4 linked regions of the Schizosaccharomyces pombe genome follow. The gene in region 3 interacts genetically with the main gene of each other region. Each region holds a gene or a part of one and is shown on either strand. Other genes may lie near its edges.

Region 1 (7,794 bases), on a different chromosome or scaffold from region 3:
AGTTTGTTGATATCAACGTCTATAATTCGTCCCTTCTCTTTTCGGTGGCGTCCAATTTCAATGTAATCTTCATTGATAATGTTTATGTCCTCTGCATTTGAATGTACTGAGTGATTAGCAATAGAAATGAAATCGTTCTCGGGTTGATTCCTCAATTTCGGAGGATTTGCTCTAGCTTTAGGTTTTATCAAAATTGGTTGGTAAGGTTTCTGATCGGAATCTACTAAAGAGGCTTGCTTTGACTCTGATCCTACGATATTAAATAACGAAACGTTACCAGACTTTTCTGAATACGTTGATTTCTTGACAGTTTCGGAGGATCCAGTAGAGGTTAAATCGCTTACAGAGTTATTAGGTAATAAATAGTTTTCATTTAAATCAAGGTCCGATCTTTTAGATGACTTTGGAGCTAATTCAGCTTGATTTTTTGGGGCAGGCAAAAGTTCAAGTAAATCATTAGATTTAAATCGTTCATTAGAGATAACATCAGATTCATTAAAAGTTTTATCATTAAAAGAAGATTTCTGTAAATCAACTTGCCGTTTCAGGCGTTTAGGTGACTTTTTAGTGCTGTCAACCGACAATTTTCTGCGCGCATGCTGAAACAAAGTAGGATCGAAACTTTTAGAAGCTAATGGTGTTTCTTCTTCAATATCGCTTTCGGATTCTGATCGAGGATATGAAACCAGAGACATATTTTATTAACTTTTGATATTAAGTCGTTTAATAATTCTGAGCGAGCGATTTGTACTCGGTAACTATTCTCACTGCGAACAGAATTATTTATGGCAATTAATATACTCGCATCTGCAAGATGATTTACATATTTATTCAAACTTAAATTAATTCTTTAAGTAAGTCTTAAAAAGAAATAATATTTAATTGAATGCTACCGCCCAACGTTGCTAGCTAGCATATGTGGTATTTTATATATTAATCACCCAAAAAGATTCCAAATTACCATTAATTTAATTTACTTTTATAAGCTTCATAAATATGAGAGTTTAAAGCACTGCAATTTTCGTAAACTTAATTTTTAGGATAGGCCAAAACATGGCCAAATCTTGAAGACTGGAAAAAGTACCGACTCGAATACTTTTATCAATCAACTGTTAGTAGTCGTAACCATGGTATCATAAACCGAACATATCTCTTCAAATATATCAATTTATGACAAACCACAATACATATTTAAATAATCATTAACTTGTCCGTATCAACTTTTAAGCCTCATCAAACTGACGATTAGCAAGTTCAACTAAATGGTCCCAATTGACATGCAATGAGCACCAAGTTTCTACTCCAGCAATAATTAGAATTGCAGCTCCAATTCCAATCCATAAACCGTACAGCCCCCAATCTAGCTTGAAGCAAAGGATTATGGCAACAGGCAAACCCAATAAATAATATGCGATGAAATTTACTACCCCACCAATCCTTTGTCTTCCTTGTCCCCGAAGAAGGCCTCCAGCTACACATTGTGTATTATCGGCAATATTAATGAGTGCAACAAGGGGAATGATAGTTGCAACCAATGCGACGACATCTTTATCAGACGTAAAAATGTAAGTCCATGTGTTGCGAGTTAAAAAAAGGATTACAGCAATGATAACACCAATTGCAGCACCTAAATTGATAGAAACGTGCGTAGCTAGCTTAGCGAGTTTCGTATTTCCAGCACCAATTAAATTTCCTACTCTTGTGGCAGCTGCAGCAGCGACACCGAAAGCCAAATTATAAGAAAGGGTCGAGGTAGTAGACAAAACAGACATAGAGGCTAATTCAGTGGTACCCAACACGCCCGATGCGAAAGTAACGAGTTCAAAAGCCCAGTACTCACTGCAAATCATAATTACACCAGGAACAGCCAATCGACATAACGGGCCCCAATTTTTTAATGCTTCTCTACTAAAACCTCCCCATGCTTGTCGTCCGTTTACCTTCATAATATAGATAATTAGAACAGCACAAGCACTCCATAGCGTTAATGCTACAGCGACCGGTGCACCTAGAAAACCGAAACCAACCCAGGGACTCCACACAAAAAGGTAATTAAGAAAAATATTAATAGGTACAACAATTGCTAAAATGTATGTTACAGGATGAAATATACCTTGCACCTGAAGGAAACGTTTTAGTGCTTCAAATAATGCGTATGCCGGACTAGCCAACATCATTACTCGCATATACTTTGCCGCAAACATACAAGTAAGAGGATCCTGTCTAAGGAATAAAAGTATGCCCTCTATTTTCCACCATATCAAGAAAATAGGGAATTGTATCAACAACAATATGGCCAGAATCCTCTGTAAATGTAAACCCACCATTTCGTAATTTCCAGATCCGAAACTTTGAGTTCCAACGGTATCCAAAGCAGATACAATCCCCTGATAAATAGCAAAAGCCGTAATTGTGGCAGTCATGTTAGACAGACTTGCAGCCGCAAGCTCTGTTTTACCCAAGTGGCCCAAAGAGAAAACAGTAGTAACCACCTCACCATACTGAAGTAAAGACGTTAATACAACAGGGGTTGCGAATTTAATAAGTAATGTTAATTCTTTCCACCATGCCTTGCTATTAAAGTCTTCTTGTACTGAAAGGCCACTCGCAATAGATTCGTTTTCTTCTGTTTCCTCTAAAGCGCCATATGATACATCAGTCGCAGGTCTTTGTACCCTAGGTGTAGGCTTTCTTAAGGAAGTAGTGGGTCTTTCTTGTGGAATAGGTGAAACTTCCGAAGCTGCGGTGTCAAGAAATTGGGGTCTTGACAAACCGTAAACAAGACTCGATCTTCTTCGTTTAGGCTTATAAGATCCTAATAAAGGATCATTTTCCCCTTCCATTATGGATATGTCTGATAAAGTTAAAGGAAAAGGGGGTCAAGTTTAAAAAACTTGTGGATGCTAGTAAAGTTTGTGAGGCCAACCGGGCACAGCTTATATAGTGACATATTACACAACCAAAATTTCCCTCAGTTATAAAAACGTAGTATATTAAAACAAGTCAATACATTGAACGTTAATTTATTGAATTTAAAAGCATTCAAATATTTAGTTAATAGAGGTGGTGAATCCCATGAAAAAATCAACAATAGATTGAATTAGCGAACGGAATGATTCAAATGTACATTGTTCACCTTCGGATATACCCTGAATAGTGCAAGATTTTAGTTTTTTTTTTTTAAATAAATGCTTTAAAGTCCAACTAACAATGACCTAAATTAACCAAAATTTCCAATCTTAATATAAATAGTCTAGTCAACTAACTTTGATAATCAACAGCTTTTTTGTGTCGCAGAGACATACTATGCGAGCTGGTAACTAAGTTCCTTTTTGTATTAATTTCCTTTTCTTTCTCTAGTTTCAATTCACGATTAACTTTATGTCTACAAGGCCAAGGTAATGAAAAGAGTTTAGAATGTCTAATACATTTCGGACAAAATGCACTCGAATTTTGAATGTCTTCATTAATAAATGTCTGGCTACAGTTTGAGCATTGGTAAACCTTTCTTTTTCCATGTCTTTTTTTCCATAGATCTTCACGAAATTTTCGATAATCATCCACATTCAGTAACGGACTATGGTTCGTTATGGCCATCTCAGACAAAAGCCTTTTTTCTCGAGACCACACCCTTTTTTTGTGCCTTGGTATAAATAGTGAAAACTCCTCATCCAAATCAGAACTGGACGCATCACTCAGTTCACCACCTGAATCCCAAATATTCAAGAAGCTACGATCTTCCTCGGAAATCACGTAACGATTTGACTGCGGCAAAGAAGACAGATCGGAAACATCAGAACTACTCTTGGAAGAACAACTTGTTGAAGTAGCACTAGTATGGAAAAGCTTTTTAAAACCATTGATGCCCATTCGTTCACATGAGACACAAAGGCATTCACAATTTTCAAGGCCAAAGTAATTAGAAGAATAAAAGGTAGTAATTTCTTCACCTGGTTTTATGTCTCTTACACAGCGCAGCCAAATGCGCTTACCAGAAGTGTTAAATCGACAGTTAGCATTGCAGTCATGATTAACGAATCGTGCAGGGCCCAAAAATAGACACATCGAATCTAAGCGGCTTGAATGAAGGATGCTAAAGTCTTTTCCAATTCCTATATTCCGCTCTTCTTTAGGAGATAACTTAATAATTGTTCCACAGAGGTCTGTAATATCTTCTCCAGCATTAATTGATTCACGCGCTATTACGCAAGCTTCAGGCTTTGAGGAAGAAAAGTATTGGTTTGTTGAACAAATTTCAAATTTGCATGATGGTAGATATAATGAGAGGTAGTACTTCAGATGTCGAGTAAATGCTAGTAAAGAAGTGCTTGACAATCTCCGCAACAATGGATCAAGTTCACGAAATTGCAGAATATTTTTTGCCGCTTGGTCAAGGTCTGTTTGCTCTATAATATATTTGGTTATAATATTTATAATAGAACAGCTTTCCATTCGCTCAATTGATCGATCCACTAATTTTCGTACTTTATGAATTTGGGACCAATAAAACACCTTGTCAACTAGCAAACAAGTACAAACATCGTCAAAAAGAGAAAACGTTTCAAGATGAGTATTCGTCTGGCGCATTATGCATTTTCATAGGCGTTAGGCAGGTATCAAAATGTCATGAAACATTCAATGTTAAAAGTACCTTTCCAGTTGAACAACGATGAGTAATCTTGATGTATAAATTATAGGTTTATATGAGTTTGCTCAGAAAATAAAGGTTAGGAACTCGATAGTTTATCCAAATATGTAATATATTTCTGCGTTGGCAAATACAAAAATGTTTTTGAACACAACAATTCAACACAATCACTTATTAGGAAATCGACTAATTAGCGAAATTTAATTATTCTCGTTTTAAATAAAAGAATCCACGAAAGTCTGAACGTTGTAATTAAATATACACCAAGCTCGGACGGTCCCCTTAAAAGTTTTCACAGTTTTCTAGTTATTATATCTTTGTAAGTTATACTAATAAAGAGCGACTTTGCTTCGAATGAAATCCACCTAGACAAATGGGTCGTAGAAATAGCAGTAGGTTGGACCGGGACTGATGAAGTTAACTAAACTATACTAGCAACCCAATAGGCGAATGCAGATACAAAAAACTTCCTAAATCCCGTTTTATCATTATTGAGATACCAGTTTAATTTACTTCCTTCTAATATTCAAGTTTAAATATGAAGTTAGCCATCGGTAGGCTTTTAAGCCCATTATTTTTGAAAAATCCTCAGAAACCCTTGATCATTACTAAACGATTTTATTCGACACCCGGAGAACGAAGGATAAAGGACATACTCACTGAGAAGCTTTCACCTAGTTCTTTGAGAGTTATCGACGTTTCTGGAGGATGTGGCAGCATGTATCAAGTTGCAATTAAAAGCAAAGCCTTCCAAGGGAAGAACACTTTGGCGCAGCACCGTCTAGTCAATTCTATCCTCAAAGAAGAAATCAGAAATATGCACGGACTGAATTTGTCTACCGAAGTCGAAGACGATATATCTGCCGGCGGATCGACTACAAGTTCATGAGATTTGTTTACAAAGACCTCTCTGCCGCTACGATTTTACTGTTTAAGAACATAGTTGTCTGACATTTATTTTCAAATTAGATATGAAGCTCACGGCTTTTATTTATTTCAACGTTTTCCTAAAAACCTTGGCTTCTCGTTCATACAATGTAACATAAAACTTTCCTTTTTTGTTCTCAGTTAATACATCTGTTATTTTCGAATATTATTATATTATGCCTTCGATATGATTTTTGCGCTATAGACTTCTAAGTGTGTTTTCTAGAATTTAATATTCAAAAGGTAACGGCCGGGGAAAACATTGATGTGTATTTGGAGAAAAAAAACTTTTTCCGCAAGTCGTTGAGTCCGTAATTACCATTCCTGCTAATGTTGCTATCTTTACTACACTTAATGTGAGTCAACATTCTCTTCCGAAATTAAATTTCCAAAAGATAGACTCCTTTCGACTAATGTATAAAACATATTGATTTTAATGTTGATCCGTCGATGGAAAATTTCTCAACAGTCACTGATCTCTGAAACGTTCTCATTCTCACTCATAATACAACGCTATTTTTCAAACAAGTTACAGATATCGGCTTCTTTTTAGATGATTTATTCAACAAACCAATGCAACACCATATGGCTAATTCTTTTCTGAACCTTTCGGTTTGCGAAGTCATCAATCTCGACCAGCCTCGGATTTTTTGGTCAGCGATTTTAGCATGATAACTTTAAAATTGTTAAAATGACTTTCTTAGAAAATTATGATATAGGCGCATCGCTTTTTATCGCCTAACGGATCGGAATTATTTCTCGCACCGGCGATTTGAACTAGCTGAAGAATTTGCCAAACATAAGCGGAAAAACTCGATTTGGTACCAAACTTCACATTTTCAAATCGCCCGGTTAGTTAGTTTGGCCATCTTGCGAGTATATAAAGTTATCAAATCATGTCGCAATTTCAAGACTTGTATCACCAGAACGCACTACCACCTGGCAGACACATATTTTGTGCAGCTATTTCAAACTACTAGTAACTTTTACTATACATACTCTGCAACACAAATCAATTAATTAGCTAATGAATTCGCATTTCCAACTTCAACTCTTACTACTATAGTCGCAATTGTTCTTTTCTTGAGTTTCGTAAATACGGATTACGAGATTCATAAATAGGATCAGTAAGTGAAAGCTGACCTAACATCAGTCATTTGTTATTTTCACCATTAATCAACGCCTCGAAAGGGGTTATTTTTTTCGAATTGGAGTTGGAATTCTCTGTGGATGCTCAAAGCACCTGCTCTTTAACTTATTTTTACATTTAATACCATAATACGAGAACCTCTGATTTCCTTTGGGAATATCCCCAAGATTTACCTTCCCTGTCAAACCGCCAAATCCTTGCTGAGCATCAAAAATTCCCGCCTTATTAGACTAGAAAATTATCCTAGAGCTTCTTGTTTCAATTCACATTTACTTACTTACTCATCAGCCAGTTGGTTATATTTTCCTTCTCTTACAACTATTTCGTTCAGAATTTTGGTCTATTCTCATTTTCTACCCTTCTTCTTTTCTTTTTTGCATCCTATTTATTCTATTAATTTGAAATGCCTCTAAAAAGTATGTCTTCTTACTTCCTTTGAATTTGTATAGTGTGCTAATTTAATTTACAAAAGATTATACAAAGACTACGTCTAAAAAAGAACCTAAACAATTAGATATTGCTGCTTCTGATCAACAAATTGAGCAGTGGAGTGATCAGATCCACAAATTAGATAAAGCGATTCGTTCTACAATCGATAACTCTCGACTCTTCTATGATGCTTGGAGATGCATGGTTTGTATAGCTCCCTCCGTCACTGCCTCTTGGATTTCTTTGTACAGACAGTTACCTCCTGAAAAACAACCTGCTGCTTCTGTCGGAACATTGGTCGATTGGAACAAGGCCTTGGAACGTCAACGTCGTGAAGTCTTGCTTGCCCTGCAAAATTTCCATGTCATAGTTATTGCTCCTTGCAAGGAGGTCAAAGGCTATGTAAAGAAGGCAGTTGAAATGATTAAAAGAAGAGATAAAAAAGTAAAAGAACTTGAAAAAATTCAAAAAGAATTATTGGTTGTTTACGAATTGCCTGATCCTGAAACCAAAAAAAGTAAAATTAAAGCATTACAAAGCCAGCTTGTCCGTGTCAATGGTGAATTGGATGACCTTCAGAAGCATTTAACTTTGTCCTTCCCAACTCTTATTGCAAAAAGTCGTGTTTTTTTTGGACAAC
Region 2 (8,529 bases), on a different chromosome or scaffold from region 3:
GCTGAGGATAAGGTGGAAGTGTGGTTGAGTTTAATTAAATCGCTTCAGATCGCGTGGCAACTTGTCTCATACCAACCACTACTATGCATATATCTACTCTAAAAGTGGACCAATTACAAAATGAAGCTGTAGATATTAATTCAAACGATACAATTGATTCCATAAATTGGAAAAATACTCGCAATAACCATACTACTCAGGCGTCTCTTCAAGCAGACAATAATGATGAGCAAAGTAATGGGCAGGCTCCATTTTCTACTACTTATTCAGAGATAAATAACATTCATGATGTACCAGGCAATCAAGATGAATGGTCATCTTCTCCCATTGCGGGCATTATTGTAGAAAGTGAAGATGAGGAAGTGGTTGAAAACAATTTACATTCACAAATGGGGACGTCATGTAATAAAATAAACTCGAATAGTAATAAGGGAAAAGAAAATATGCATTTTGTTCTAGATGATAATGGTGATTCAAAGGGGAATGCTTCAAATCAACAAGTCGAGCGTGACGACAAGTTAGATATGGAGACAACGCGCTGGAACGGAAAAGAGTTTGAAGAACCTCTGTCAACAAACAAAAAATTGATTATCCAGTCAAACAACACCTCATCTCAACATTCGACACCCCCATTATCCATTTCTGATACCAGTACACACACCGGTAGCAGCACAGACAATGTAGAAGCAAATCCCAATACAGGTTTTTCTAGTGCCAGAAAACGTTCATTAAGGTCCTCGAATTTGAAAAAAAAGTTTGTGCCATTGTCATCTCCAGAAGAATCTAATGAATCCGAATTTATTGATGATGATGAAAGTGATGAAGTTGCTAGCATAATTGATATCAAAGAGGATGAAACTTTTGATAGTAAAGTAGAAATTCCAGAAGCTGCTCCAAGTTCTTCTACGGAAAGTGATGAAGAGTCAATCCCTTTAAGTTACCAGTCCAAACGAAGGAGGGTATCCGCTAGGGCTTCTTCTTCCGCGTCCTCTTCCTCTAGAACACAAGCAAAATCAATTCCATCACATGAAAGAACCCATTATCGTCTGATTCGACAACATCCTGAACTAGAACATGTTTGGGAGAAATTGGAAGAAGAAGCACCTCGTGAAGTGAAACAGATCGAGCAACCCAAAGAGTTGGTCCTAAACCTTCTCCCTTTTCAACGAGAAGGTGTATATTGGTTAAAACGACAAGAAGATTCCTCTTTTGGTGGAGGAATCTTGGCCGATGAAATGGGTATGGGTAAGACTATTCAAACAATTGCGTTGTTGCTTTCAGAACCTCGAGGTAAGCCAACCTTGGTTGTTGCTCCGGTTGTAGCAATTATGCAATGGAAAGAAGAGATTGATACACATACCAATAAAGCACTGAGTACATATCTTTATTATGGCCAGGCTCGTGATATTTCAGGAGAAGAGCTTTCGAGCTATGATGTTGTACTAACGAGTTACAATGTAATTGAATCAGTTTACAGGAAGGAACGCAGCGGATTCAGAAGGAAAAACGGTGTTGTAAAAGAAAAGTCATTACTTCATCAAATGGAGTTTTACCGAATTATACTTGATGAGGCCCATGGTATCAAATCAAGGACTTGTAACACTGCCAGAGCTGTTTGTGGCTTAAGAACGACAAGAAAGATATGTCTTTCAGGAACACCTTTGCAAAACCGTATTGGAGAATTATTTTCACTTCTTCGGTTCCTACGGGCAGATCCTTTTGCTTACTACTATTGCTTGCAATGTGAATGTAAATCTCTGCACTGGAGATTTTCCGATAGAAGTAATTGCGACGAATGCGGCCATAAACCAATGAGTCATACTTGCTATTTTAACGCTGAAATGCTAAAACCAATACAAAAGTTTGGATACGAAGGTCCAGGAAAGCTAGCTTTTAAAAAGGTGCATTCTTTATTAAAACACATTATGTTACGTCGAACAAAATTAGAGAGGGCTGATGACCTTGGATTACCTCCTCGAGTCGTTGAAGTGAGGAAAGATTTATTCAACGAAGAAGAGGAAGATGTATACCAATCTTTATATATGGATTCAAAAAGAAAATTTAATACATATCTTGCTGAAGGTGTCGTTTTGAATAATTATGCAAACATTTTCCAGCTAATTACACGAATGCGCCAAATGGCAGATCATCCTGACCTGGTGTTAGCTAGCAAACGAAAAACAGTTGATATTGAAAATCAGGAAAATATCGTCTGTAAGATTTGTGACGAAGTCGCTCAAGATGCTATAGAATCACGTTGCCATCACACATTTTGTCGACTCTGCGTTACGGAATATATCAATGCAGCTGGTGATGGAGAAAATGTCAACTGTCCAAGTTGTTTCATTCCCTTAAGCATAGATCTTAGTGCCCCTGCTTTAGAAGATTTTTCTGAAGAGAAGTTTAAGAATGCATCGATTTTGAATAGAATTGATATGAATAGTTGGCGTTCATCTACAAAAATTGAAGCATTAGTTGAGGAGCTTTACTTACTTCGTAAGAAGGACCGAACACTGAAGTCGATTGTTTTCTCTCAATTTACTTCTATGTTAGATCTCATTCATTGGCGACTTCGAAAAGCCGGGTTTAATTGTGTAAAGCTAGATGGTGGTATGACCCCCAAAGCGAGAGCAGCTACTATTGAGGCTTTCAGTAACGATATTAATATTACCATTTTTCTAGTTTCGTTGAAAGCAGGTGGTGTTGCTTTGAACCTTACAGAGGCATCTCAAGTGTTTATGATGGATCCTTGGTGGAATGGAGCTGTACAGTGGCAGGCAATGGATCGAATTCATCGTATTGGACAAAAAAGGCCGATAAAAGTAATTACCCTGTGTATTGAAAATTCCATTGAAAGCAAAATTATTGAACTACAAGAAAAGAAAGCTCAGATGATACATGCAACCATAGATCAAGACGAAAAGGCTTTGAACCAGCTTTCTGTCGAGGATATGCAATTCTTGTTCTCAAATTAGAATTTTGTTTTTTTAAAATTAGCCCAAATTTTGGCCGTTTCCTTTTTATATACCTGCCATATCTCCCTTTGCATTTTTTTTGTTATCCTAGTTTTTTGGACCGTAATTCCCTAAGTCAGTATATGCGTTTTGGAAGTTTATTTATTTTTTTGGGGATTCCTATTAATGGATATAATTTATTATTGAGTTGTCAATAGAACGGTTAAAGTTTTTTAAAACAAATTAAACATAGTTAAGATTTTATCGCTTCAATGTAAAGTCATTAACTTACCTTTGACTGATAAATTTGTAATAATAGTAACTCAATAGATAATCATTATATCTTCAATTTTAATATAATATTTTCGATTTTGGAATGTCTTTATACTTTTTGGACTTAGTAAATTCTTTATATCAATCAGTGCCTTAAACTCACTCAGCAACCCATAACTTCTGTTAAACTAGTGAACTTGCACACTGAAGGATTAAAAGTAAAAAGCCCAATAATTTCTCAAACAATTTCCTATTTATGGCATGACTAATAGTTCACCACGGGTGAAAAGAAGAACGGATACGCAATATTTGCATTCCGTCTCTTCTAAATTGCCCAAGGTTGACTTTGACACAAATAACGAAGAATTTTTTGAGGAAGAATTTGAGATTTATGATCCTTTTTATCGCGCAGAGCTACCTTGCCCGAAACCGTCATTATCAATATCGAAGCATTCAATTGCAAAAGTTCCATCAAATGTAAATAAACGATTAGAATTGCAACTTTTACTAACGTCTGGGACATTCTTACCTAATTCACGTCCTTATTTGAGTGAAAGAGTGAGAAAACACACTCATTTACTTTCAAATAGCATTACAGGCGATGATAAACCATCACTCATTCATGTTGATTTTACACCAGAGGAATGCTTTATTTTACAAGAAGCTAAACTAAAATTTGGACCGGTAAACAGTGTTCAGTTCAATGATGCTTATTCGACCCACATTTCTCCAAAACTTCCTGGACGAGCATATGAAGATTGCCAGAAATTTGAAATTGATAACCCCAGCTTGTCTCCTGTGGACAAACATGGGGCCATCATTTTACGAACATACAAGAAGAATAAAAAATTACTTCCAGATTACTTAAAATCCTTTTACAATGCAGGCTCATCTTACTTCCAAAGAGAACAAGTTCATCAACTTATGGACGGGGAATCAGTTTTCTTTTTAAAACCTTGGAAACATTTCAATGAAACTAGTGGGGATACAGTGTGCGTTGCATATAATCCATTGTGCGAAAAATTTGCCTTAGGCAGCACAGCACAAGATGGTGCTTACAATAGACTAGGCAACTTATGGATTGGTGATTTTCACTCAGAAACTATTCAGTCATTGGAAAGCCATTATAAACTTAATCAAGTAGGAGAAAAGGAATACTCTACGATATCAGATTTGTGTTTTTCCAAGGGTAATCTGTTTCTTTATACAGGTGCATTCGACAATGCTGTGAAAGTCTGGGATATGGAAGGAAATTTATGTGGGATTTTTAATGCACCCACAGACTATATTCACAAGCTTGCTCTATCTGATGACGATTTACTTGCAGTAGCTTGCAAAAATGGTTATGGGTATTTATTGAGCACTGACAACTCAACAGGAGAAATTCTCACATCAGCTAATTTAATTTATCCAGAAGCTCTAGAAAAAGGGTACTCTGCATCTTTGATTGAATTTTCCAATTTTTTGGGAAGGTCATCTGACAAAGTCATTATTGGATATGATAGTTTTCATACTTCTAATAACAGAGGATGTTTGGCTCTGTTTGATGCTTCCACTGCCAGCTTCGTTCAAAAATTCAACACCGCTGACGAAGCATTTACCTCCTTATATATGCATCCTTCTCAAGTTGGATTTGTCGCAAGTAGCAATACTTTGAGCAATGGAAGAGTATATTATTTAGACACAAGAATGTATAAGGTTTGTCTCAACTTTACGACAACGCAAAAAGACATTAACCATGCCACCATAAGTAACTCTGGAATCTTGGTAACTTCTAGTGGTACAGATAACCAGACGTTTGTTTGGGATTCGCGTAAACCAGATAAACCTCTTAGCTTGCTTAAGCATGGAAAAACCAAAATGATACATTTTGACGGGGCTAATGAAGAGGAAGTCGATGCAGGTATAAATATGGCACAATGGCAGCCTAAGGGGAATTTGTTCGTTACCGGAGGCAGTGATGGCATTGTAAAGGTTTGGGATTTGAGATTGAACAATCCATTCATACAAAATTTTACGGAAATGAATTCAGCCATAACTTACGGAGGGTTCAGTGAGGATGCTTCAAAGCTAACCGTATGTTGTGTTGGAGGGGACGTCAATATGTACAGTTTGGGGAATGACAATGGTAATAAATTCGGAGAGTTTCGTATTATAGAAAATCGACTTTTAACCTGAATTGAGGTTTAAATACGAAAAGGTATATGTAAAGATGATCAGTCAATGGAGATTCGCGCTAAGAAAAATTTTCTTTATTAGACGACTAGGATACAGAGAAGGTATAAAAGAAATAATGCTCAGCTAGTATGAATATTTAATCGAATTCCTTTTCGTGGGTGAACTGGCAAGAAAATTAAAGACAGCGATCGATCCGAGAAATATTTAAGAACTGAAGAAGGCCAAAAATTTTGCAATGATTCTAAAGGATAATGGAAAATTAAACCTTAATCTCAGTGAAGGTAAAGTCAAGCTGATTATTGAATTGACGTTTACAGCAAGAAAATTTTAATAATATCTAATATGTTTCTTTAATGATCAACTGACTGGTTTGATAACTCAAAAGCAAAACATAGTAACAAACAAATGAGCTTTCACGGTTAAAGGATGAAAAATGTGTTACAAATTAAATTAAAATATCAAACATAGATAAATTTAAGTTTAGCTTAGACCCGAAACTCTTAATGTTAACAGAAATGGAGATTTTTTATGGAATGTTGAATTAACTCTTCAAGCAAACGTAATTAGTTAACTTGAAAACATGCCGTTAACAAAAACCATAATTTAATCATCAACTCACCTTTTCAATTTAAAAAAATGATGAACAACTACCGGAAGCTTTTTTGTTTACAGCTTTGGTGTTTACATATTCATGTACCACTACACTTGGCTGCACCCAGCTTGCTATTCGCGTTACTACTAAACAATATTAATTTGTAAACAATAAATTATGCCTAATACTGAAAGTGAATTGAACGAGGAATTTTCTAATGAATTTAATATTCCTCCACCAACTGAATCCTCTTCAAAGGAGGGAAATAGATTTTTAAACGACTTTCGAGTTGAATTCGAGAAAAGAAGAATAGAAGCGAGAAATAGAATATTAGAGAGTGAGGGAAGGGCCCTTGAGAACAAAACTCACCTGAATGAAGAGGAGATTCGTACAAATGAGCGCGTAAAAAGGTTTCAACGTCGAGTGGATGAGTGGACCGCGTTGGAAATTGAGAGAGAAAGCCAAGTTCAACCGCCACTTTGGTACCAAAGAGACCGCGAGGAGCAGAATAGGACTCTCAACTTTTTAATGAGCGGTATGGCAGATTTACAAAGAACCATAAATACTATGCAAGGGACCATGAACACTATGCAAGGGACCATGAACACCATGCAAGAAAATATGATTAATTTCACAAATAAGGTCAATACTCTCGATATGCGTTCAGTTCGTGCGGAAAATAGAGATCTTAGGAAGGGTGCATACGTGATTTCGCCTGTTCCCTTTATTAATGGTAATAATCCGGACCCTGATTTGCCTCCAATTACTTCAGTTCAAGATGTAGATCGGTTGTCTAGGAGTCAATGTTCTCGATATTTACAGGGCTATGGGGTAACTTTTCATGTAAACGAAACTATTGGGATGAAGAAGAAACTTGCTAGCGCGGTCGGCCTATCGGCAGAGTATGACAGAGAGTATCCTTTTTCTGGATTTCCTAATTAGCGATTCTGGCAGAAAAGTACTCGACGAAAATTAATCGCTTATATTTTTTTACTATTTATTCACGTGTATTATTATATTGGAAATGTATATAATTATTGGGAGTGAAACGTTCAAGAGTTCAACCCAGCTACTTATAACTCTTGTTTACCTGATGTTGAATAATCTTGAATCTTTGTGATTGTTGAATTAAAAAGCATACCGAAAGCAAAGCATTCAAATTAGGTGATTTGTGAGGTAAAATTTTTAAGATAAGATGCCATGGGCTTGCATATTTAATTTTTAAAAAATGATGTTTGCATAAAGACGATAACATACTGTCTTCGAAAATCCGTTTTATGAGAAATCTGAAGTTAATATAAGTTAACCGCTCTTGATGGCGATAGTTATCATTATTGTTTATGAAATCTCAAGAGAGAAACTATTATTTTAATGTTGCATTGCATATATAAATATATATTTTTTAATTTCTTTACAAATTAGTACATCGTCATCATACATAATAATACTACCAAATTATTTATTGGTATTAATTCATTGGAAAATAACATTAATCATTGTTGCCTAAAGGAGAGCATAAGACGATCCGTCAGGACTGTGAATTTGAGTAATGAAGTATGTTACGAAAAAAAATAATTCAAAACATCATCCTAAGCTTATGGTGTATAAAAAGTTTTCAAAGAAAGATTTTCGATAAAAAAAAAGATTTGTAGAGAAGTATCCTAAAGCTCATCGTAGTAAGGGAGCACGTCAAGGTTACCCACAGCAACTGTACTAGCAGGTTTGGCTAATAAAGATGAAACCACCTTAGAGATGGATGCGGGGGTAACCTTGTCGAAACCACTAATAAAGGCATCAGATCCTTTTGAAGCAGAAACTAAAGATGAAGCAGATATGGCGTTCAAAGTAACAGGTTCAAAAGCAGACAAGTACTTAGTCTTAGCCATTGCAATGCCACTTTTAACAACATCATTGGGGATATTAGAAGATAATGATTTAAGGGCCTTGAAAGATTCAGAGGCAGTAGCTTTAATAGCTTTTGGACAACTGCCAGAAATAACGACCGATAGCAAACTGGCATCCGAATAAGGAGTGAGATCAGCAACAGCTGTGGCTTTGTATTCAGAAGCAGTTCCAGCAGCCTTAGCAAGGAGAGTGTTTCCATGAGACCATTTCACGGCAGCATCTCCTCCAAGTATAGAAGACAACACAAAAAGCTCAGGAGAAGCAGCGGGAGCTGGAAATCCTAAACAGAAATAATTGGTTCCTTTGGAATAAACACGTGATTCCCCAGAAGAAATCTTTGTGGGTGCTGACTTCAAAGGACTGCCATCGGGAATTACGGCAAAATACTTAGCACACAGGTCAGAAGCCTTCTGAACGTCGGGACCAGAGGAAATAACGGAAAAGTTAGACTTAACATAAGCCTTTGAAGCAAAATCTTTTATTTCAGAGATAGAAGGGCTGGCAGAAGCAGGAAGGTAAACTTCGTTTCCAATGCCACGGTGGAAAGCCTTTTCGTGAAGCTTGGCCATGGCGACCCTAAGGATGTCTTCCCTAAACAGTTCAGACTCAATGCGAGCGGTCGGTAAA
Region 3 (6,981 bases):
AATACTTAAAATATGAAGAGAAATTTAAACGGAAGCGGATGAAGAAAACGTCGAATGCATTATTTCAAAGTACATGAAATTACTGATTAAATACCTTAAAGAAAAAAATATCATAATCCGAAACTTTAGTAGGAACTTATGTGAGTTTAAGCTTATTTATTTGTTATATAGTAACTTTTACCTTAGAACGCAATGTCTTTCAAGCTGTCACAAAATTTCTATTCTGGTTTTTGAAGCCTTCTTCTCCGTAAATAAGCTTGGAATAAAAATTCTACCGCTTCAGTATTCATTTTGGTATCTTGCCACGTATCGCCCCAGCAGTAAATACCGTGATCTCTAACAATTACAGCACAAGTATCTGGGTACAAATTGATCGCTTCTTGCAAACTATCATGAAGATCAGACTCATGAGCAGTATTATTGATAACTATTCGGTTAGCAGCCTTTTATAAAAGTTTGTAAACTCATACATGGAATTTTTATCTTATCTGTTGGCTTATGAAACCCATTATTTTTAGATCCTTTTGGAATATACGATAGTACTTCAAAACCTGTTGCCGAAAAATGATCAGAATCCGCAAATAGAGTAGACAATAAAATGGCTTCCTGAGAATGGGTATGGATACATGCATATGCGTCACGCAAGCTACTGCTTTAGTAAAGAATTCAATGTTCAACAACTTTGCTGACTTACGTGTATACTGCTAAAAACAAAGGTGTACACTGAGAAGGTTTCAATCGAAGAGCTGGCATTCGCATATATTCTCGAGTACTGCAAGAGGTTAGCATCTACTCAAAATGATAAAAACAATGACAATAATAATATCATACATTAAAGACATGACAAAAAGATGGTGTAACTCCATCCTTTCCTTTTGTACACCCGAGGGAGCGATTACAATGGCATCTCTACATGAAAGTTAATATTTGACGCTTTAATAATGCTTTGTACCCAGAGCGAATGGTAATTCCTCCTCTGATTCTTTTATTAGTTATATTAAATTCAAATTAGTAATTACCCAGTTCCTGTAACCCAGCCCGACGTATACAGATCTCGACAGATTTCGCAAATTAATTCACCACATTTTTTCAAATCGCCAGAACGAAGACATCCTAAGTCTTTCTTTAGAAAATCATCCATTATTACTATGATGATAATTATCTTGATGAAAAATTTTGAAAAGGGTCACGTTTCATTAACGTTTAAAAATTTTTAAGTAGCAAAAGTAACTGTGAGTTTAATCTACGCGACATTAAGCAAACAAAGTGAAGTAAAGAATTGATGTGTATAATAGCTATCTTGATAATTATTATTTTTTTTTATGAAATTATTAAACATTGTGTCATGGCACTTGAATAAATAGGAAGTACTAAGTTTTTGCTTAAAACAAAAAGTTTATTACAGTCTATTAACCTAATGAAAATAAAGTACAATAGAAATCAATTAATAATTTTTTTATTCAGTCATCCCCAAATATTGCACTGAAAAGAGTTTGGGGAGCTTTTGGTTTTTCTTCTATATCCTGGGGTCGATTCAACTTCCTTGTATCAATTGAATCGATACTTTTGTTTTCAATTTCAGCAATAATAGGTACATTTTCAATAGAAGAAATATTTTTACGCTTTTGTTTTTCTTGACCGTACGGTAAGGCGACATTAAAGCGTTTACAAAGAAGACGTTCGGGAATGAATGTAACAACTGTACGAGGTCTTCTCAAAATTGAATCATCAGTTTCACTATGTGAATTAATCGACTCTTTTTTAGTCGAGGCTTCAAAAGAACTTACGAAACGCATCGATAGATTTTTTGACATAGGTCGGTATAGTGAAGCTGTTTGAGTAAATTCTAGTAAATGACGAGAATCAATATCTCTGAGTAATCGTGGCATATTCATTAGGTGCGCCTTAAGGAAAATCTCGTAAATTCCGGCACGCTCATCGTTATAGGGATTATCTTTCCTAGACATTGCATTTTTAGCTGTCTCAATGTCAATTAGTTGCCAAGATCCCTCATCTTCCTTGACACCATGATTAACATCACTAGGTAAACTTGCTTCACCGTTGGAATTTGTTTCACTTTTCTCAGCAAAAAGTGGTAAGCGCTCATTTGAAGTTTGGGCTTTTTTTTGTGAAAATCCTTGAGAATTTGTAAAAAGTTTTGGCTCCCAACCCTCAGGTATTGTAGGAGGAGGAAACCAATTATTTTGAAAAGGTGATTGTAAATTAAATACCACTACAAATCCTGGAAGGGGAGGTAGACCATCTGAGCAATTTTGCGATTTGATTATGCTTTTCCCTTTGCTTCTGTCTTTTTTTGACAGAAAGGTATGCTTAACGGGTGTAAATGGAGAAGCGACTTTTTTTGTAATGTTGATAGATTTATCATACCGCATTTTTGGAGCACCGAGGTCGTATATATCTTGATCTTCTATCCCATCATCATTTAAAACACCTGATCCAAATCCACCGCGCAGATTTTTTGCCATTCCAACTGGTTTTCTTTCCAGCTGAAAAACATCGTCCGCTTGATACCCGATACCGTGATAAGCTTGGTTGGTTAACTTAGTGTCATCATAATACCCTTGAAATGGAGATATAACAAAATCATGACCGTTCCATCCAAGATTTTTTAACATTTTTTCGCCAATGCTATCGTCCCTATTTGAGAATTCTCTAAGTAGAGGATCATCAATTGGTATAGATGTATCAATCGTATTTATTTTCGAAGTATAAACTTTACTAAGCTCTTGGTCAGCACGATCTTCCTCGTCCATAATATCGTCAATAGTCATTCCATGCACACTTTTGTTTTCATTCCTTGAACTTTTCCAAGATTTAGGTTGCCAACCCTCTTTTGAACCAACCGTATTAAAATAGCCAGCAGAAAATCCACCAGTAAATGCACCATGAAATCTCTTTCTATTACGCTCATCCCTGGCTTCTTGTTTCCAAACAGGAACTCCTTGATTAATTCTGGACGGCTCAAGATCAAAAGGGGAGCCATAAACTACATAAGGGTGCCGATGAACATCGACATTGCTTCTTTTTCTTGAATTGGCATACATTTTAAAACAAGAAGTAATCGTGATCCGTAGTTAAACTGAAAAAAAAAAAATTCAAAATTCAAAATTTAAGGCATATTTTAGGATACTATAAGCCCATTATTTTTGAGGCGACAAGAATACTATGTTGAGCAACTTTTAATTTTTAATAAAGCCAGATAACTTATCAAAGAATTCTGATTTGTTGACAAAAGCAATTACAATACTCAATTTTTAAACAGTTGCCCTTGCTTCGAATTTCAGCTGCCTCCGTAGTGCAATCTGCGAGCGTTAGGGTACGTTATTTATCTATTACCTAATTCTTTGTACAGTTGAAGTTTCATGAGATGAAAAATGTATCATGTATATTTTGTCTGTTATTGAGAAATCTCAACAAAGTTCTATTTAGTATTACTTCATGTTGAACCAAGCATTCATAAACTAAGAAATTTGTTGGTAGCTGGTAAACTGAGCGAATTATCGTCGGTTGATTGGTAAAACATCATTTCTTATACTTCGTTTGCTCAACCATACTACGAATTTTAATGCCTAACAATTAATGAGCAATACACATTTGGATATGCTGCTTATATAATTTCACATATCTTGATAACTTAATTATCAATTAAGGAATGGTGGTTAGGCAAGTATGTGTATCATTACGTGGGGTTTTTCATAGATGTATGGTTTGAAGATGTTAAAAAAATAAGTGTAAGCGGTTACTATGCTAATGTTCTATAAAAACCAATGTTCATATAAATATTCGTCGATTGCGGGGCTTCTTCTCATAAGGATTATAATTACTAAACATAGAGGTATTGGCAGGTCAGTTGTAATTCGCGTACAACATCTTCGACTCACCACTTCTATAGTGGTACATAAATTACCGTTTCTTTCTGCGAAAAAGTGGGTTAGAAGTTCGTGCTATTACTTCTAAATAATCGTGAGAATTTAATTCAATCGTAGGATACAAAGCTGTTCATTATATAAAACTATCAACTTTCGAATATTCTATGGTGTGGATATAATTTTCATTTATCTTTATGAGTAAAAACTATACATATCATATTTACAATTAAAAATCTTCTTTCTTTCTACTATATGGATGGATATTTCGAATTATGTTGACAATTTCTACTTTGATGAGAAAATTGCTTCAGCATTTGAATTAGGTAAGCGTTTAGTAGTTCAATAAGCTTGCACATAAAAAAAAAATATTGGGTTTTTGTACCGGGATCTTAAAAGACGGAATTACTGACAGCTTTAGGAGAAGTAAGCACGGTTGATTTGTTAACGCTGGATATTACTGAGCTAGAAAGACGCACACATTGTAGTCAAAGTGAGTTATTACAGTTAATTGAGCAGATATCCCTCCTTCTTCAACCAGTAAGATGTTCTGCTTCCAAAGTCACTTCGAAATATTTGACAACTGGCGATGTAAAGTTGGATGAAACTCTACATGGAGGTATACCAGTAGGACAGTTAACTGAAATATGTGGTGAAAGCGGTTCAGGGAAGTCACAGTTTTGTATGCAGCTTTGTTTAATGGTTCAACTACCTCTCAGTTTAGGAGGAATGAACAAAGCAGCTGTCTTCATTTCTACAGAGTCCGGTCTTGAAACAAAACGATTATTTGAACTGGCGCGTTATTTACCAGAAAGGTATCCCAAAGCTGATAAGAAAGACATAATTATAAAAAATCCAGGAGATAGGGTGTATACTATATTATGCCCAGATCTGGAATCTCAAGAACATATCATTCAGTATCAACTGCCGATTTTATTCAATCGGGATAAAATTGGGTTGGTTATATTGGATAGTGTCGCCTCCAACTACAGAGCTGAGCTCCGTTACAACCGATCCAAAAGTCATTTTAGAGATTTAGATAATATTGCCAAACGTGGAAATCAATTGGGAAAGTTAGCTATGACTCTACGCACTTTAGCTCATCAACATGAAGCTGCTGTTGTCATAGCTAACCAAGTTAGCGATAGAATTCCTAGAGATTATGATGCTATTGGGTTGTTTAGTTTAGATTATCAATCGCAATGGTTTTCGGGATGGGATGACACAGATCCAAATCCCAAAATACCATCTCTTGGTCTCGTTTGGACTAATAACATCAGTACGAGATTAGCATTAATTAAGAAAACCGACTCTGCCACCAATAATTCGGGGAGAATCTTTCGGGTTGTTTATTCACCAAATTCTCCAAGGCTTGACGTACGAATATGCATAGGATCGGTTGGGATATATTCGTGCTAGCATTTTTGTAAAAATTTTATATATAATATAATAAAACCGGTTTATGAATTGCCCTAACTTTGTTTAATCGACTGTCGCTTATCAATCATTCGCAGAAAGAAAAGTAATGCTTTGAGTAACTGTTACATATATAAGTGTACTTATTTATCTTTATATTTATATTACCTCTGTCACTATTAAATATATATTTTGTTGATCTATGATGGTAGTGCATTTTTATTAGAATCCGACATACTTTAGTGGACTGAATTTTGGATATACCAGTTGGGTATTGAAATGGAAAAAAATACAATAAAAAGTTTTACACGTAACAAAGAATGCCCAAAGAGCTCTCTTAACCGACGAATGGCTTTTTCTACCTGTTTTTACTATTGCGCGTAAAAGATTTTGTAAGACCTTTCCGATAGCTTCCGCTATTGGCGATCCTTTAGAAATTTGCACCTAACATTTTTACCAAAAGCCAAGTATGCATTGGTGATATCTTGTAAATAAAAAATGAACATTCTTTTATAACATAATCGTTACAAAAATAGAACACAAAAATGTCAGTTCCAATTGATCGAATCAATACGGTTGACACTTTAGCCAATACACTGGAAAGTAATTTAAAGTTTTTTCCAGAAAAAATACATTTCAACATCCGGGGCAAACTAATAGTCATTGATCGCGTTGAACTTCCAATATTACCAACTACCGTGTTGGCACTTCTATTTCCTAATGGGTTTCATCTGCTTTTAAAACATGAGGGAGGTGATGTCTCATCATGTTTCAAATGCCACAAAATCGACCCTTCCATTTGTAAATGGATTTTGGACACCTATCTACCATTATTTAAAAAAAGTAATAATGCTTATCCCTCAAAAATTGCATTTAATCCTATATCGAATACTACCCTCGTTTTATTCTTAACAGAATGTTGCAATATCTATTTATTTTCTGAAAATAAAAAGCCCGTCGACCAAAAAATCAGGAGCGACTTATTAGAGCAAACTTTCAAGAACAACGACGTTTTTGAAAGTGCAGACAAAAAAAAAATCCGAAAAGGGCTGAGTGATGGACCGCTAGTTGATGCATTACAGCATTGTGGATTTCGCTACAACGATAAATGGGCCAAGAGAGTAAAGGAGCCAAAATTAATGAGCTTAATGTCGTATATCATAACAACAGTCGAGAGCTCCTCATTAAGCGAAGAATTTTTGAGTAAAATTTTGAAGCTATGGGGACAGCCAGGTAATAAGTGCTGGTGGATAAACGAAGTTATAAAAGTAAACGGATCTTTAATCAATGTTTGGAGGAGAAAGCAGTGGTTGTTGGAAGTTACGATTATGGGAAATCGTGAAAATTCTCAAGACTAAGTGTTTTAGTAAAAATAAGATTAAAAAACATTTTGCTAAGTTAGGCCGTGCATGCAGCCATTCTTTTAACAGATACCAATGTTACGAGGTTTCCCAGATTTTACTCAAATTGCGTGATAATTATTGTAGTATATTTATTTTGAATAATAATTTTTTATTTGAATTTTGTTAATACTGTTTTTTATAAATATTACAATACGTTCAATCTAGTTGTGGTAACATGAAAGTGCTTCCACTTACTTGATGCTCTCTACGCAAGAGTATGCCTAATGAGTTTATTTCCCAATCGCTTAGTACTCTTACAAATACACCCTTAAATA
Region 4 (7,540 bases), 1.3 Mb from region 3:
GTAAATTTGTTTTCTTCTTTTTATCCAACTGCTATGTTTTTTACATTTTTTCTAATACTCAGGAGTGCTCTAGTGGTTTATAAATATAGGTACTTTAATTGAATACGAAAATATACCGATTAACAGTAATATTCAAAACTTCTGTTTTTGTATATCATTGAGCTTGTGTTAACTAGAGTACATATTTTACAAATGTTAAATTTATGTTTATTTTCCAAACCTGTTGTCTAAAATTTTAACTATAATGAGAAGTTTTCGAAGTATATGATACTTGCTTTTTTAATAAAAAACATTTTTTCCAATTATAGCAGAATAATAAATGCCTTGGCTTACTTTCTAGACTATTCTCAATAAAATGACTACTTAATTTAGTTAAACATATACAAAAACATCCGATATTTGTTTTCCTAAATGAAATACAAAAGTTTTTAAGATACAACCATATGATACAACAATGACAAACGTGGGATTACTTCTAATATTATAAAATCGTTTTGATAATTAAAATTGTTTTGGCCATGGCTTCAGCAATATATACTATGCATAGTATGATACATAACTTTCACTGTTCGATATTTTCTATAATCTGATGCTATGATTATTTTTAGAAATTAGCGTAAGACTCATAAGTTGCTTTGCTGTGTAAACTAGCTATAAAACTAAGAAACTCACGTTTCCTTGGATCAGTTGAAAGTTCAATCTTAATATAGTTATAATACTATTTAGTATTTTCCGATATTTTTGTAGCTAGCTTCATTATTTGTGGTAAGCATACTAGCATCATTTTCAGTAGATCTAAGTCACGAGGAACACTCGGCATAGTCTTTTGGATTTTTAAAAGCATTTTACCGATTCCTCATAGCTCTACTAATAACTATGTGCCCCTTATAAAATAAGGTGCTTTAGCAGAAAATGAAAAAATCTCGTTAAAGATTTACTGCGAATTTAATTACAGTAGGGAAAAAAATTACTTTCCTTAAGACTGTACATTTGAAGTTATCTTCTTCCAATTCAGTGCCAACAATTGTTAATTGAAACTCCCATATATTGGCCTTGCATTAAGGGTTTTCAGTAAAAATAATGGATATGGACAGTGGAAGTATGGGGGTTGCTTTTCAACCCTCAGAGCCTATTGCTTCAACAATCTTGTGTTGTGAATGTGGAGTTCCAACACCTCCTAATGCGGCTGCTATGTGTATGGATTGTATAAAAATGACAACGGACATCACTAGTGGTATTCCACGGGAAAGCACAGTTAACCATTGTCGTGAATGTGAACGATACATGCAACCACCTAATAACTGGATGATTGCACCATTGGAATCTAGAGAATTGATGGCTATTTGCTTAAAAAAGCTTCGAGGCTTGAATCAAGTACGCCTTGTAGATGCCAATTTTATCTGGACCGAACCACATTCCCGACGAATTAAAGTCAAATTAACGGTACAGAAAGAAGCCTTTACAAACACCATCTTGCAGCAAAGTTTTCAAGTTGAATTCTATGTTAATAATACACAATGTCCTGATTGTGCTAGAACTTACACTCCACATATATGGAAAGCAGTTTGTCAGGTTCGTCAAAAAGTGTTACATAAGAGAACGTTTTTGTATTTGGAGCAGATTATTTTAAAGCATAAAGCTCACATGAACACTGTAAATATTAAAGAAACTAAAGACGGAATTGATTTTTACTTTGGCCAGAGAGCACATGCGATTAAAATGGTTGAATTTTTAAGTGCTGTTGTTCCTATTCGCTACAAGGGCAGTGAAGAGCTCATTAGCGAAGATTTTAAATCCAATACCGCAAATTATAAATTTACTTATTCAATTGAAATTGTTCCTATCTGCAAAGACGATCTTGTATGTTTACCAAAAACGGTAGCAAAAGCCCATGGGAACATTGCTCAACTTGTGGTATGTACAAAAGTCGGACCTACGATCCGCTTTCTTGATCCGCTTACTTTACAAACCTGTGATATGCTTCCCTCAATTTATTGGCGTACCCCGTTCCCTGCACTTGCAGATATTCCCGAACTTACTGAGTTCATTGTTGCCGATGTCGATTTATTAGGCCCAACAAATGGAAAGTATGCCCTCGCCGATGTGGAATTGATTAAATCATCCGATGGGTCAACGCACTTAACACGCACCCATCTTGGTGGTATTCTAAATGCGGGCAATACCGTCCTTGCGTATCATTTAGCTGTTACCAATTTTAACAATGAAGTATATGATACTCTTCGTGAAGATTCTATTCCGGAAGTTGTAATTGTTAAGAAAACTTATCCTCAAACGAAAAAGAAGAATCGGAATTGGCGTCTCAAAACTATCGGAATGCAAAAAGCCGAGGATGTCAAGAAACAAGACATTGAACGTCAAGAACGTGATTATGAGTTATTCTTGCAGAACTTGGAGGAGGATCCTGAGCTTCGCCAAGGCGTCAACTTATACAAAGCACCAGTTAAGGCTATTGCCGTTGCAGATACTGATATGGATGAGGAGGATGAGGTTGATGAAGACATTCCTCAAATAAGCGTCGATGAGTTGTTAGATGACGTTGAGGCAATGCATATTTAAAAATGCTTTAGGTTACCAAACCTTTTTTAGTTTTTATTTTGTTCTTGAACCGTTTTGGATTGGGTTATCAGATGGGATTGGTTATTCACGTACTTTAATTTTAGAAGTTTTATTTAAACAAAGCTTTCTTCCACATTTTTTTTAGAAATTAGTGATTCGTTTTAATGAGTTGAGGACAAATCGACTTTAAATGGCTTTTAAAAGTAAATAAAACTTTCGTAAGATGATATGACTTACTAAGATAACTAGATCAGTATGTGCTATGTATGAGGTGGTAAAATTATAAGTAAAGAATAGGCTTTTTTTACCATTTTTAGTCAATCTACTATATGAGGAACCCATAGAGAATTTATCTTTAAAATTTTTTAATAATATTTATGTAAATACTACAAAACTTAAATGAAAAAGAAGACTAACTTTGGAAACCAGGAGGAGGCATTACAGGGTTGCCGTTATTAATTCCTAGAGAAGTAGGAGGTTGATTCTCGGCGCTTTTTTCCTGTTCAGGGACAACCTCCTTGTCAATAACAGAACGCGCGTTGAATACAAACAACGGAGGAAGATTCTGAATCATTTCGATTTGCTTTTTATCAAATTCAGTTCCTTCCGTGCTAAAATTGATTTTACTCAACGATGAAACCAAGTCATTAATTGCTTTGTTAAGCCACTTTGTAGTGTTTTCTTCTTCCGAGGGTAATTTCGCAGCTTTCAGTTTTTGGATTTTAGGTATTGAAGTCTGGGTTGATGAGGATTTCAGTGCATCTAAAGGTTGCTGATTAACAGCGGCACGTAATCGTTCTTGTAATACGCTTGGAGATAATTTTGCCCAAGCAGCAGTTGGTGGAAGAGCAGAACTCTCTTCGTGATGAAGAATAGTTGTTGCATGTCCAGGAACGACGTTTACAGAAGCAGCAGAAGAATAAGGGGCAGGAACGCTGGTAGCAGTGTTATTAGTGGATAAGGAAGGTGTCATTGACACTTGTGGATGAACATGATCAACTGTTGTAATATGCTGATTTTGTGCAGCTGGACTACTATTAGCCTCTTCTAACGGTGTTTTCGTAACAGGAAGTAGAGGTGTTTTGAATGGAAGAGAAGGAGAAGGAGAATGAGTAGCACCATTTACCACATTAGGTTTAGTGGAAAGAGGACGGGTATGTTGAAGAGATGCCAAGTCTTCTTTAGTATAACTATCCACCTCGTCACCGGGTTCATGTAAATACATGCAAGAAGGATTGGGGCATTGCTGATTCCGTAAATAAGAAGTGCAATATTTAGTGGTACCATAAGATGCGCGAAGATGTCGCCCATCACTTACGCTGCCATCAATTGCAGCAATCGCTCGTGCAGCATCTTCTTTTCTTTGGTATGTAATATAAACTCCAACATGACCATTTGCAGAATTTGCAGCAGCCTTCTTATTTATTGCAATTTTAATAATCTTTCCGTATTGACCAAAGTATTCAGGTCCCTTCAGAACGTTGATATTCTCCTCATTTGCAACTTTGGGAGAAAGGCCGTTTACATAGGCAAGGTTCTTTTGTACAACACGAATATTTGCAAGATGCTTCCTGTTTGAAAGCTCGACTTCCTTCCTCTCTTTCTCGCGTTTCTTCCTCTCGTTTTTTCGATGTAAGTCCATCTTCCATCTAAAAACATTAGCGACATGTTTAAAAATAAAAGTGAATTTAAACAAGATTATGCTTAAACAAGAATTCTATAATCTGAATTACATACTCCTCTGCCGTGACAGGCCGCCATTGAACATTTTCTTCAGTGTACAGACGGCGACATGCAGGACAACGGCCATTTAGATCTTCTTTGATATGGTGCCAGCAAAATCTACAAACTCTGTATCCGCATTGGCATGGTTTGAAGTTTTTATCAGAGATATCAATTTCTTCCATACATAGAGGACTGTTGCAATTGTCAGTTAATTTTGATACTAATCGGCTAGTAAAACATACCAACACATGTCATCCTCATCTTCTGAAGAATATATCTCTTGCGTTTTTAACATTTTGTGTGAAATATGTCAAATCTCCGTCACAGTGCTCTCCAAATCGATACTGTTTAAGGTCGCTCGTTATACAATACAGAGGAAGTCTTCAAATATCTTAAATCAAATCTTTGATTTTAATTTAATTTAGTTAATTCCCTTAATATTCATTAGACTTCAAACAAATATTTTTTAAAGGGCAAACCGAGTTGTGGTTGGTTATAAGTTTACTTACAACTTAGTGTAAAAGAAGGAGGCAATGACTAGGTGAGAGGTTGGATTTGAACAGTATATACCACACGAAAAATAGCAATTAATAGACATGAATTAAGAAATTTGAGAAAATTCTTATTCCAAAGGTTTTTGGAATTGTGTTTGAACAACAAAAAGTACCCTTAAAAGTTTCACCGTCTATAATTTCATCTTGATAATTAATTGCAGTAAACGTTTGTAAACGAATGTATTATATATACAACTTTTTCACGTTGTGGTCAAATTCTTTAGTTATTTCATCTTCTAAGTAATTAGTGAATATATTGAATTGACGAAAAAACGATGAACAACATAATAAGAGGCATAAAGTGCTTCTCTACTTAATTTACGCTCCATGTTCCATCAAATGGATAATAGTTTTTAACAAAATGTTCAAATATTTTACATATAGAAGGGAATTTATTCTTATGATAATCATTTATACTAAATGCTCCTCTCGAAAATCAGATATCTTTAAGTAGTTTTCTAAGTCTAATTGCAACGACGTTTGGCGTTCAAAGACTTGTTGTAACTTAGCATCTTCATAACAGCGTTGCTTCACTATAATATACTTACAACCTCGACCATTGTTCTTTTTTACGATAACCATTAATTTTACCTTTAATATTCCTTAAAACATTAAGGATAGTATTGATATTTCTAAGTGCTAACCGTCGCGTATTACATGTTGCTTTGCTCATAGCATGGGAAGTATCTAATGGCATCCTCTATAAACAATTCATCTCAACCTACAGTACCTTCAATTTCTAATAATAGTCATGGCGACTCTTTCGTAAATGAAGGTCCCCCTTCTAATTTTAAAAATAATTCTTTAACATCATCAACTCACTCTTCAACTGACCATGTAAATGTCTTGCCAATTAGCCAAGACAAAGAGATGGATATAAGTTCTCCAGTGAAAAAACAAAAAGCTAGTTATTCGAATAAATCTCCAAATAAAGCACCTATTCAAAAAAGCCGGGGTAGTTCCCTAAAAAGTCATCTCGAAACCGAATCTCAACAAACTCCTGTAAAGCGACGGAGACGAAAAGCGACTATACGCAACGTCGACTATTGTAGTGCATGCGGAGGAAGAGGTCTTTTTATTTGTTGCGAGGGATGTCCTTGCAGTTTCCATCTTTCATGCTTGGAACCTCCCTTGACTCCTGAAAATATTCCAGAAGGATCTTGGTTTTGTGTGACTTGCTCAATCAAATCGCATCACCCTCCTAAGCACCCTCTTAGTATATGGTCCCAGCTTTACGATTGGATTGATTCTCAGAATCCCTCGCAGTACCGATTGCCCGACGACCTTGTGCATTATTTCCATGGAATATCTCGTGGGGATACAGGTGCTTATAAGGAAACTGAAGGAGAAATGGATACTGACGAGTTTTCTGCTTTGCCGACTGGCTCCTCTATCACTAATCTAGCTTACTGTGGTTATTGCTCTAAGCCATCAATGGGTGCTTGTTGGGTCTATGGTTGCCAGCTGTGTGACACCTTCTATCATAAAAATTGTAAAGAGCATGCTAAAAAATGCTCTCATGACTCCATTGGAAAAAAAGGTATGAGAGTACCAAAAAACGCCGTGGTGATAAGGACGCCCTTGGTGTTGGATACAACTTCTAATACTCTTAATCCTAAAGTCATGATTTCAGGATGGCAATTTCTTATGGGAGAGTTTCCAAGTGATGAACTTCTCTATTTCCCAAGATTACCCGTGAGTTGTCTCTACAAAGTTTCAGAAGACGGTCTCATCAAAGATTTTTTGTACGCGATTGGCATAGAAGCTAAAAAGTTTAATAATGAAAGGAAAAAACGAGAGTTAGAGGTTATTCCTCCAGACGTAAAAAGCGCACTACTTCCTGCGAGAACGCACCCAAACCTACCTATTGCACTACGCACTTTATTCAATAAGGCACGCACTTGAATTTTTACGATATTTTTACATTTTGTATAAAATCAGACTACGTTAATCTAATCTGTCGTGTTCAAATCGTCAGAAAAGGTTGTTTTCTGTTATTTTTTTGCTAATGTTGTATTTATAAAACCTCTTAGAACTGGCTATCTGTTGTAATTGGCTTATTTTACATTACTTTTCTCCATTAAGGCTTTTAAAAAATTTTCGTTATGCAATTAATCATTGCAAATCCTTCCTAATAGGGCAAAAGTTCTATTTTATACTAACAACTTCTCAATACTTAAATTTTATACGCGTATTGTACCGTGTGAGTATATATAAGTATATATAAGTATATATAAGTATATATGAGTAAGATGCATTTACTAGACAAAGAGGAATAAAATAAAAGAAAGTGATAAGGAAAGGTTCTATTACTAAAGTCTATTTAACAGCCATATCAATGGTTTAAAACGCTTACAGACCAAACGGTCCATAAAACTTGAACACCAAAAATATCAACAAATAAAAGATATGTTGGCATTCGTAATTACAAGTAAGCAAATACTTATTAACTAGAACCTAGTAGGTTCGTCGAACTTGCTTTCATCATCACCAACCTGACTTCTAAAGTCTTCAAAGTCGGTAGCGTTGCTTTCTCTTCGTTTGTATTGAGCAAAGACATTCCATTCTTCAAGATACGAGGAAGAGTATAAGTTCGGAAGATTAGAAAACGAAGGTAACATGGCAGAACCGGCATTCTGTATAGGAGATAGTGATCTTTGTACATTGAGGTCTCTTTTAAATTT

The links.
Region 1: mutations in rad57 (region 3) and set9 together harm fitness more than expected from each alone (negative genetic interaction), as found in Schizosaccharomyces pombe (3 studies listed by BioGRID, with this or other methods).
Region 2: mutations in rad57 (region 3) and raf1 together harm fitness more than expected from each alone (negative genetic interaction), as found in Schizosaccharomyces pombe (2 studies listed by BioGRID).
Region 4: mutations in rad57 (region 3) and cph1 together harm fitness more than expected from each alone (negative genetic interaction), as found in Schizosaccharomyces pombe (2 studies listed by BioGRID).

Annotation. Positions count from the first base shown.
Region 1 is NC_003421.2:1,151,020-1,158,813, forward strand, and holds set9 (histone lysine H4-K20 methyltransferase Set9), read right to left. Parts: upstream 5,043-7,794; 5' UTR 4,588-5,042; coding exon 3,262-4,587; 3' UTR 2,895-3,261; downstream 1-2,894. Other genes in the region: protein Cwf20, read right to left, coding at 1-695; SPOM_SPCC4B3.13 (MatE family transporter), read right to left, coding at 1,224-2,843; protein fra3, read left to right, coding at 5,187-5,537; ipk1 (inositol 1,3,4,5,6-pentakisphosphate (IP5) kinase), read left to right, coding at 7,129-7,141, 7,198-7,794. UniProt on the Schizosaccharomyces pombe protein: Histone methyltransferase that specifically trimethylates 'Lys-20' of histone H4 to form H4K20me3.
Region 2 is NC_003421.2:97,131-105,659, reverse strand, and holds raf1 (CLRC ubiquitin ligase complex WD repeat subunit Raf1/Dos1), read left to right. Parts: upstream 1-3,395; 5' UTR 3,396-3,488; coding exon 3,489-5,405; 3' UTR 5,406-5,944; downstream 5,945-8,529. Other genes in the region: rhp16 (ATP-dependent helicase), read left to right, coding at 84-2,975; protein meu23, read left to right, coding at 6,175-6,939; ubiquinol-cytochrome-c reductase complex core protein Qcr2, read right to left, coding at 7,659-8,529. UniProt on the Schizosaccharomyces pombe protein: Component of the Clr4 methyltransferase complex (ClrC) which contributes to the establishment of heterochromatin by specifically methylating histone H3 to form H3K9me.
Region 3 is NC_003424.3:2,119,144-2,126,124, forward strand, and holds rad57 (DNA recombination mediator, RecA family ATPase Rad57/Rhp57), read left to right. Parts: upstream 1-3,886; 5' UTR 3,887-4,146; coding exon 4,147-4,213; exon of another isoform or gene 4,214-4,308; coding exon 4,309-5,306; 3' UTR 5,307-5,363; downstream 5,364-6,981. Other genes in the region: ATP-dependent 3'-5'-directionality DNA helicase fml2, read left to right, coding at 1-77; mde1 (5'-methylthioribulose-1-phosphate dehydratase), read right to left, coding at 219-427, 471-646, 695-772, 832-909, 953-976, 1,020-1,141; gpl1 (Gpl1-Gih35-Wdr83 complex RNA-binding subunit), read right to left, coding at 1,461-3,065; whi2 (phosphatase activator), read left to right, coding at 5,849-6,661; gih35 (ATP-dependent RNA helicase), read left to right, coding at 6,924-6,981. UniProt on the Schizosaccharomyces pombe protein: Involved in recombination DNA repair and in the repair of gamma-ray-induced damage.
Region 4 is NC_003424.3:794,004-801,543, forward strand, and holds cph1 (Clr6 histone deacetylase-associated PHD protein-1 Cph1), read left to right. Parts: upstream 1-5,363; 5' UTR 5,364-5,546; coding exon 5,547-6,761; 3' UTR 6,762-6,978; downstream 6,979-7,540. Other genes in the region: export adaptor Nmd3, read left to right, coding at 1,081-2,577; CCR4-Not complex subunit Mot2, read right to left, coding at 2,990-4,226, 4,315-4,494, 4,545-4,597; ATP-dependent RNA helicase Upf1, read right to left, coding at 7,307-7,540.